Linked DNA regions of Caenorhabditis elegans. The gene in region 2 interacts genetically with the main gene of each other region. Each region holds a gene or a part of one and is shown on either strand. Other genes may lie near its edges.

What was found.
Region 1: of ant-1.1 (region 2) and daf-12, changing one suppresses a phenotype caused by changing the other (phenotypic suppression), as found in Caenorhabditis elegans (one study listed by BioGRID).

Annotation. Positions count from the first base shown.
Region 1 is NC_003284.9:10,642,600-10,647,475, reverse strand, and holds the start of daf-12 (Nuclear hormone receptor family member daf-12), read right to left. Parts: upstream 3,037-4,876; coding exon 2,926-3,036; intron 1,639-2,925; coding exon 1,579-1,638; intron 1-1,578. UniProt on the Caenorhabditis elegans protein: Nuclear receptor which binds directly to response elements in target gene promoters. Activity is modulated by binding of steroid hormone ligands that include dafachronic acids.
Region 2 is NC_003281.10:13,461,379-13,465,226, reverse strand, and holds ant-1.1 (ADP/ATP translocase), read right to left. Parts: upstream 2,065-3,848; 5' UTR 1,997-2,064; coding exon 1,939-1,996; intron 1,831-1,938; coding exon 1,766-1,830; intron 1,721-1,765; coding exon 1,500-1,720; intron 1,447-1,499; coding exon 888-1,446; 3' UTR 575-887; downstream 1-574. Other genes in the region: cdk-5 (Cyclin-dependent-like kinase 5), read left to right, coding at 190-270, 323-409; T27E9.2 (Cytochrome b-c1 complex subunit 6), read left to right, coding at 2,643-2,870; abcf-2 (ABC transporter domain-containing protein), read left to right, coding at 3,020-3,094, 3,154-3,342, 3,394-3,848.

The DNA.
Region 1 (4,876 bases), on a different chromosome or scaffold from region 2:
GATAATCAAAAAATAAAGGAGATGAGTGTAAGGAGATCATGTGGTGGTGCTCACTGATTCTCGTGAGCACTAATTGAATAATTTTGAAAAAGCGTGACTGACATTTTACAACTACATGTCCAAACTTGTGGGAATTGCAAACTAAAAGAACACTTGAACGTTTGAACATTTAAGATTGAGAAAAAGTGTTACAATAATGAGTCAAAAACGGTTACTTGTTCTGGATTGTTCAAGGCAATTTGAATAATCTTCACGTTTACTCACCCGTAATGCTGCAAGCATTTTGTCGAATGACATGAATTTCGAAAGTGCCGCCACATTTGCTTCGAGTGTCATTTTTTGATTTTTGTGTTCGGAATGAAGTATAGACGTCCGGAAGTATATAGTAGAATGGTATCATCAGCACTTCATTGTTGTTTTCGGAATAATTGAGAAAGTAGGTGTTGTGAGAGGCGTGGTCCCAAGTTTTTGCGGTAATATGGAACACACACACTTAAAAAAATCGGGGCCGAACGACGACACAACAGGCAGCAGTAGCAAAAACTTCAGTGCGTCCTGTGTATATGTACGGTGCGTGTGTTTCACCGTTTGACCTTGGAACGGCCCAAAAAGGAAGCGAATTTAATTGTAAGTAAGAAGTAAGTGTGAGCACTTATGCTTATCGCTTTATCAAAACACCGGCGCTGATTACCGTAGTTTGGCGTTCCGAACAGGTTGTGGATAGGTTGATTGTTTGAAGATGAAAATTGAGATATTGAAGATGACGATGATGACACTGGACTTTAAACTTTGATCGTTGTTGGCAAGAATACAGCTTCTTTGTTTCAGACCTAGTTGGTCCGAATAATTTCAACTAGAGCTCACTATGAGTTCATTTATTTCAGGTATCGTAAAAGCTGAACGACTTTTCCAGAATTTTTCCTTTCGAATTTTTCCAGTACAGGTTTCATTGAAAAAGCGTTTAGATGTAGAAGTAAAAGTCCACCATTATCTTGAGCGCATTTTGTATCTTCAACACATGAAATTTCTCTCATCATTTTCTCGAATGTTGAGAGCACATCACACTCAAGAACATCAGTTCTTCTTTCCTCTCCACTCACTTCTAAACAATTCCCCGTCAGCAAAATGGCGTGAGTTTAACGCTGCACAAAACATACGCCGAACTTCGAAAAAGAGATGAAGACTAATTGATGAGAAACAATCAATAAGAAGAAGGATCGGATCAGAATGGAACTTTTTGAACTTATAATAGAAGCTTATTACAAATTTCTAAAACTGAATTAAAGTTTGATAACTAAATGTCCTTTAGAGTGTTATTATATTCATTTGTTAACACCATGTTTTCTGAATACACACAAAAATATAGAGCATTAAATTCAATGAACTGAAAATATATGTAGCTCCAATAATTCAAATCCAATAAGATTCTTGATTGAAGAAAAGAAAATCGTTTAGCAATTTAAAGTTATAGAATACTACCGCCAACCACAAAAACAACAAAAAGTTTCATCTTGGTGCAATGGTTGAGTCAAGTCATAATAATCTAACCTGATTGAAAAAACATAATAACAAACTAACGTCGTCATCGCTGTTTGGAGGTGTCAAGCAGTTATTCTTGCTGTGTATCCGCCTGTGGCGCTGAAATAAAAAAAATTATTTAAATATTATTTATGATATTTTTAATTACACTTGCTGGGCTTGACGATTTATCATCGTCGTCAATCTTTTCAACATCAATTACACTTGCTGAACCCGGAGTTTTTGACGTTTGAATAGGAGTTTCGTAAGAAACAGCAGAAAAGTAATATGGAGTTGGATAGAATGGAAGTTTGTGGAAATTGTGGAAAGAGTTACTATACATGGCACTGTGAGAGTATAGATGGCGATTGTATGTGTTGTTGCAATGATCTGTTTTGCCTACTTCATCTCGGCGCCCCGTTAAGATAGCCGTCGATTTCGGCGCTGGGAGGGTCGAACAGTTTTCAACTCCCCCAAATTGCACTTTTGATGTAGAAATTCAGAGAGAATAAATGTTGCTGCTAACAAGTGGTGGGAGGGTACGGTTACACAAAAGATAGAAAACGCACGAAAAGAGATGATAAGAATATGACTCCTTTTTGTTCTCAGAAAATATTGGCCACTCTAACGCTTATCGCTACAAATCGAACATTTAGACACAGACCGCCGAAGATGACATGTCAACGTTCTAAAATCAGTGCTGTTCTTTGAGAAAGAAGCAGACATATTTATGTGTTACTTATAACAGTTAAACGTTTAAGCTCTACGAATACTTTAGAAAGTAAGATTTTATTTCCGACACATTTTTGAGTGGAAAAGGGGAAATAGCTGCAGAGAGGACATTGTTTCATAATGCCGATTGTACCAGAATGGTCGAATTTTTCAGTTTTCAAACCAAATATGAAATTGAGAACATTTTGAAAATTGTTCTACCATGATATGCCGTTACTACATATTTTGTGTTTTTTTACTGACACCAGTAGATAGGCTTGAAGTGGCTTTGTAAGTTAAGACTAAATAAAATTGATGAGTATCAACTCTAAGAAAATTTCAATACCATTTGTTCGAAACTTCTACAAAATAACTGAGGTTTAAACATAAATGTTAACACATTCTTGTGAAAATGATGCAATATATTTTGCAAAAAAGGTCATTTCTACAAGACTATTCTGCATCTATTCCCACAAGCTTTTATTGATACTTTGGTCTTCTGTTTAGCTGATGAGAAAAAAATTATAAATACGGTTTCAACTTTAAGTTTGTTATAAATAACTTGTAAATATCCAATTTGTTCACCTTTTTGCCGATTTATACTAATTTTCACATTTTTGATTGCTTTACACAGTTTGTACTGGCTCTTCTCGGTATACAATTTTTTAAAGCCGTGAGATTTTAGAAATCACTTACCCTGCGGGTTACTCGTTTCCTTCTCACGACGGGCTCCTCTACCTTATCTGGGTTTTCATTTGTTTCGATTTCCATTGACTGTTCCGCAATGACTCCTCCATTTGTGCCCATTTAATTGGCGCCCGTTGCGCCGAAATGTGCGCTGAAAAATTTTCATTATGTTTTTGTAAAGCAAGTAAAGCAAGATTTTGAGCAACATGGAATAGCAAGGAATAAGTTTCCAAAGTACACACTGGTGATCAACAGCCACAAAAGAAAAGATCGGAAGAGACACAAGAACGGGGACGGGAGGTCGTTATTTGTGAATACTTTGTCATTTTTCTGCTGTGATTTTTTTTTTTGCGTGGAACAGTCGAAAAAAAAAAATTTTGCTACTGCTAATTTTAAACATATCTACTGATTGCGAGCAAAGTTTTGTAAAATTGAAACATCTCGATTAGGCAAAACAGATCTCGTCAAAACTTTCTCTATAAAATAAGTTTTTCTTTTTGATTAGATATTATATACAGTTATAACTTGTAACGAAAAATTGGGAAAAAAATGTTTTTTGATGAATGAAGCTCGGTAAAGTTATCTACATCGAAAGTTGTTCTTGACGACCAGCAAAAAAAAAACAAACAAACCAGATAACTGGGTTAACTGGTGCGTGGATATCTACAATTTAAACTGAAATAAAAGTACATTTTCATTATCATGTTTTCATCCGCTTGGTTGATGAGTAGAACTAAGATTTAGTCTCAAGTAGACTCTGCTGTTCATACTATTTCTGCCTTTTTGCTGGCACGCATAAATTGATAAATTATGTATTTATCTCTAAAAATTTAATTGAAAATCTGTCACTTCTGATTATAGTGTGTTTGTTTCATCAAATCCTAATGCTTAGCACCAAAAATCTGATTCGTTTCATTTTGACGTGAAAAATTGCTAAATTGGAAAGATGAGAAGCTGGAGAGGAAGGCATTTGAAATTTGGATTTGAGATGGCATATGGGGAGGGAAAAAGCGGAACAATTGTAAAAAATGTCGTGGTCTCATTCACTCAACACATGAAACTGCACCTACTGAGAAGAATATGCATTTCTGGTGAAATATTGAAATAAAACAGCACGGAACGAACAAAAAAAGGTTTTAGAGAATGTAAGAAATTGAAAAATAAGTTGTGGTGCACTCAATTCTGAGTCAAAAACAAAAAGATTGAGTTAATTTTCAGATAGAAATTTGATATTCGGCCAAGAAAATTGATGAAATTAAAATAAAATCGAGTTGCGGCATTTGAAGAACTTTCAATGTTTTCAAAATGTATTTTGATGCAGAATAATGTTGCAAAATGGAACAATCACGAAAGTGAAATAAAAAATCTAAAAATTTATCTCAAAAGTATTAAAAAAGTTTTAAAAAATATTTTTGACTAACTTAGGGAAAAAAATTAATTATTTTTGAATAAGTTTAATACAAAATGTAAAATTAAACTTAATAAAAATTACATCTCCTATTCAACTGATTAATGGAAAAAGGAAAGTACTGAAATACTAAATAAAATTAAATTGAAAAAACCATTTTTAGAAAATGTTTTCATTTTGAATCCAACTTTAAAAAAATATCAGTTACATTTAAGATCACTTATCAGACAAATAAAATTATTTTCAAAAAAAATAATTTGAGGAACCAAAAAATGAAATACGATTAGCAATGTGCCTAAAGGTCATTTCAGATAAAACTAGACGCAACATCCAGGGAAAAAAAGAAAAAGCAAAATCCAAGAGGCGCCGGGCAAAGAGGGACCGCGGATGCCCACGCAAGAAAATGAGACGCAGAAATGGTGGAAAAAATGTGGGAAGGCGAAACGAGCATTAGGGTGGGTATGTTGCAAGAAAAAATTTTTAAAATACGCAATAGGGTGCACTTTAGAAAGAGTAATGGTCATTAATAGTTCAAACAAAACAAAACATTGA
Region 2 (3,848 bases):
ACTTTGAGCTCAGCTGTTTGTTCGGGTGACGTAATTCATACAATCACGGGCGGCTGGGACAGGACAGAGAACAGAGTATTGAGTAGATTTAGAGAAGCAGAGACAACTGTTCTAGATTTAAGATTGACAATAATTAATTGAATTCCATTGCATTATAGGAACACACAAGTATAACATACCATTTTTCAGCCCTACCCAATCTACCATCCAACGCTTACATGGAGCCAAATCGTACCTAATTTGAATTCACGTGGCCGTGATCTTTTACAGGTAACTTTTTTCCAATAAAAATTATACTTACTCAAACTCGAAGTATTTGCAGAAACTTCTTGTTTGCAATCCAGCAGGAAGAATCGATGCCGATGCAGCTCTACGCCATGCGTACTTCGCAGACACTTCTGACGTCTAACTATTCACTATTGCACTTTCCTACTCACATTGTTTTCTCGCTTTCCCTGGCATTCACTTCCCCCACTGACCCCAAATGAACCTCATTGCTTGCGAAACAAAATCTCATCGTTAATAAACGGCTACGGTTTGAAATCTTTCTGTGGCACATAATTGAACGAAGGGAAAATCAACAACGTTTTATTGTTGTTCGAGTAATTTTAAAGATCAACGGCAAACACAGGTGCAATAACCGAGATTGTCAAACCGAGTCCAGATAAAGGGGCTATCCTAACGAATGTTCAATCGGGGTGTTGAGGGAAAGAATGAGAATTTGAAAAGGGGAAAACTTTAATAGAGGATTTAAAACTTTTTATGTGGCTCGCTTTATTTTTGAAAACTTAACATAGTAGCTAGGTGAACTACTTTGCTAAAACAAGCTACATAACGAGATTTTGTTGGACAATGACAAGGTAAAAATTATCAAAGTGTTATCAAATTTAAAGGAACTTCTGGATTTCGTCGTAGATGGCCAAGACGAGGGCTCCTCCGGTTCCACGGAAGACGTTGGAGAGGGCTCCCTTGAACATAGCGGACATTCCTTCGTTTTGGATGATCTTCTTTGCGCAATCGAGGGTGTTTTTGTAGAGGATATCCTTGCGTCCAGACTGCATCATCATACGACGACGAACAGTGTCCCATGGGTAGGAAAGGATTCCAGATCCGACTGTGACAACTTGAGCAATTCCCCAAGCGGCGAAGAAGTTGAGTTTCTGTCCATCAGAAGCGAAGACCATCTTGGCGGTATCGAACATTCCGAAGTATGCGGCACGGTAGATGATAATTCCTTGCACGGAGACGAAGAATCCTCTGTAGAGTCCGATTGGTCCATCGGATTTCACGATCTTGATAAGGCAGTCAGCAAGTCCCTTGAATTCACGGTCGTTGGCCTTTCCAATATCAGCAGCAAGACGGGTACGGGCAAAGTCGAGTGGGTAGACGAAGCAGAGGGAGGTGGCTCCAGCAGCTCCTCCGGAAGCCAAGTTTCCTGCGAAGAACCTGAATTTCAAATGTGAAATTTTCTAAAAACAATAATGCAATGTTTAACTTACTTCCAGAAGTCCTTCTTTTTGTCGAGTCCCTCAAGGAAGATTGCCTTGTATGTGTCCTTGAAGGCGAAGTTCATGGCCTGAGTTGGGAAGTACCGGATGACGTTAGCGAGGTTTCCTCTCCAGAGGGCAGCAACTCCTTGCTCCTTTGGGACACGGATGAGAACATCCATGATTCCCTTGTAACGCTTGTCAACGGCGATAGCCTTGGAAGCATCTTGGACCTAAAATTTTTCATATTTATAGTGGAAAAAAGTTTCATCACACACCTGGAGGAGAAGCTTGACACGCTCAATTGGGGCAACAGCGGTCTTGGAGACGGCAGCAGCGGTACCTAAAAGAAAACAAAATTAATTAAATCACAAATTTGACGAATGAAAACCCAAAATTAATAATTATAGAAATCCTCCAAATTTTTGCAATAAAAACTGAAAAAGCTTACCTCCTGAGGCGAGATCGATCAAGAACTTTTTGGTGTCGAAGGACTTTTCTTTGGACATGATTCAAGATTGAAGGACCTCGGTGGTCGGTGCTTGCCAGAAGCAATAGTGGGAAGACGGCCGCCCGTCGAAACGGGGTGCGCGCACAGCCCGTGAGGCACTTTGCAGGTCTCGCCACGCTCGCAAGTACGGTGCGTCAGGCGCGGCGATTCAAACACTAGTTTTCTCTGACCGCCCAGTTTTGGGATTTTTTGCATATTTTGAGCCTAAATATCAGTTTTGTTATCGATTTTTCGTATTTTTCTTTTCTAAACGTGTTCGTTCCTTCATTCCTGAATTTTTCACGTTTTGTTTTATTAAAAAAACGTGATTTATTTTCGAAAAATAGGTCATAACTCCAAGAAAGTAACTTAATTGCGAAAGTTTCAGTTTTTATGAAAATTATGAGCCATGTCAAAGCAAACACAATAGTGTATTAGTGATAAGCAGTACTTGAAGTGTTTTTTGTTTATTTACACTGTAGATAACTGGTTATTCGTAACCTCAATGTTCCGAAAAAAATCGATATCGCATTGTGGCTAATTTATGCCTACGGGAGTTTGGTATGACCGGTTTTTCGAATCGCTTTAAAGTAGTTTTCTTCATATTTCTCTTCTCATCGAGCCAATGACTTGTCACTATCATGGAATTTTTTTCGGGTATCAGTATGTCGAGCCACAAGGAAGAGCCACTCGAGGCTGACGTCGATCAACTTACTCAATACCGTGAGCGATGTGCCGACCATGTCACCGAATTCAAGAGTATTCTCGACGAGTGCAACGATCGTGTCAACTCTCGTTCTAACACTGAGGAGACCTGCCATCAGGAGATGGCTGACTACGTTCACCATTTGGATCACTGTGCCATGCCAAAGGCCTTCGCTTCGTTGAAATAATATTTCTTTTCCTGCTTTTTTTGAGGATTTCTCGTCTAGTTTATGTGAATTTTCGCTCTCGTATTTTTTATCCGTCGCTTTTTCCGTGTATTTGAGAGATAAATAAATAAAAATTTAGGGTACCCCATCCGCATCACTGCTGGACAACAATGCCGTCTGATGCGAAGAAAGCACGCGAGGCCGCTAAGAAGGCTGCCGCCAAAGGAGGAAAAGGAAAAAAGAAGGTGAGCAATTGATTTTTAGTTTTTTTTTGTTTAACAAATAATAATCATCTCATTTCCAGGTAGAAACACCAACCGCCATGTCATCTCAACATCCGTCCGTCAACAGTCTCTGCTGTTTAGACGAGGAGCTCGATCAGGCCGCCGCCACCTTGGCCAAAATCGAATTGGAAAACGCTGCTGCTCGTTCAGTCGCCGGATCATTGACTTCCGATCCAAAGGGTCTTGATCACAGAGTAGAAAGCCTGACGGTAAGTGGTTTTTAATTGGCGACTCCAACAAGTAACTTTGTTTTCATTCAGATTACATTCCACGGTCGTGAAATTGTCGTTGACACGAAACTCGAACTCAACCGTGGACGTCGTTACGGACTCATCGGATTGAACGGATCTGGAAAGTCTACCATCATTCAGGCAATCTACAACAAGGAAATGCCAATCCCAGAGTCCGTGGATATGTACCTCGTATCCCGTGAAATGCCTGCTTCAGAGAAAACTGCTCTTCAAGCGGTCGTTGATGTCGATTCAGTCAGAAAAGAGTTGGAACATCTTGCCGAGCAGCTTGCTAGTCAGACTGATGAGGAAAGTCAGGACAAGCTGATGGATGTTTACGAAAGGCTGGATGAAATGGATGCATCTCTCGCTGAAAAGAAGGCTGCCGAAATTTTGCACGGACTTGGATTCACAAAAACTATGCAAATGAAAAAATGTAAAGATTTTTCTGGAGGATGGAGAATGCGCATTGCTCTCGCTCGTGC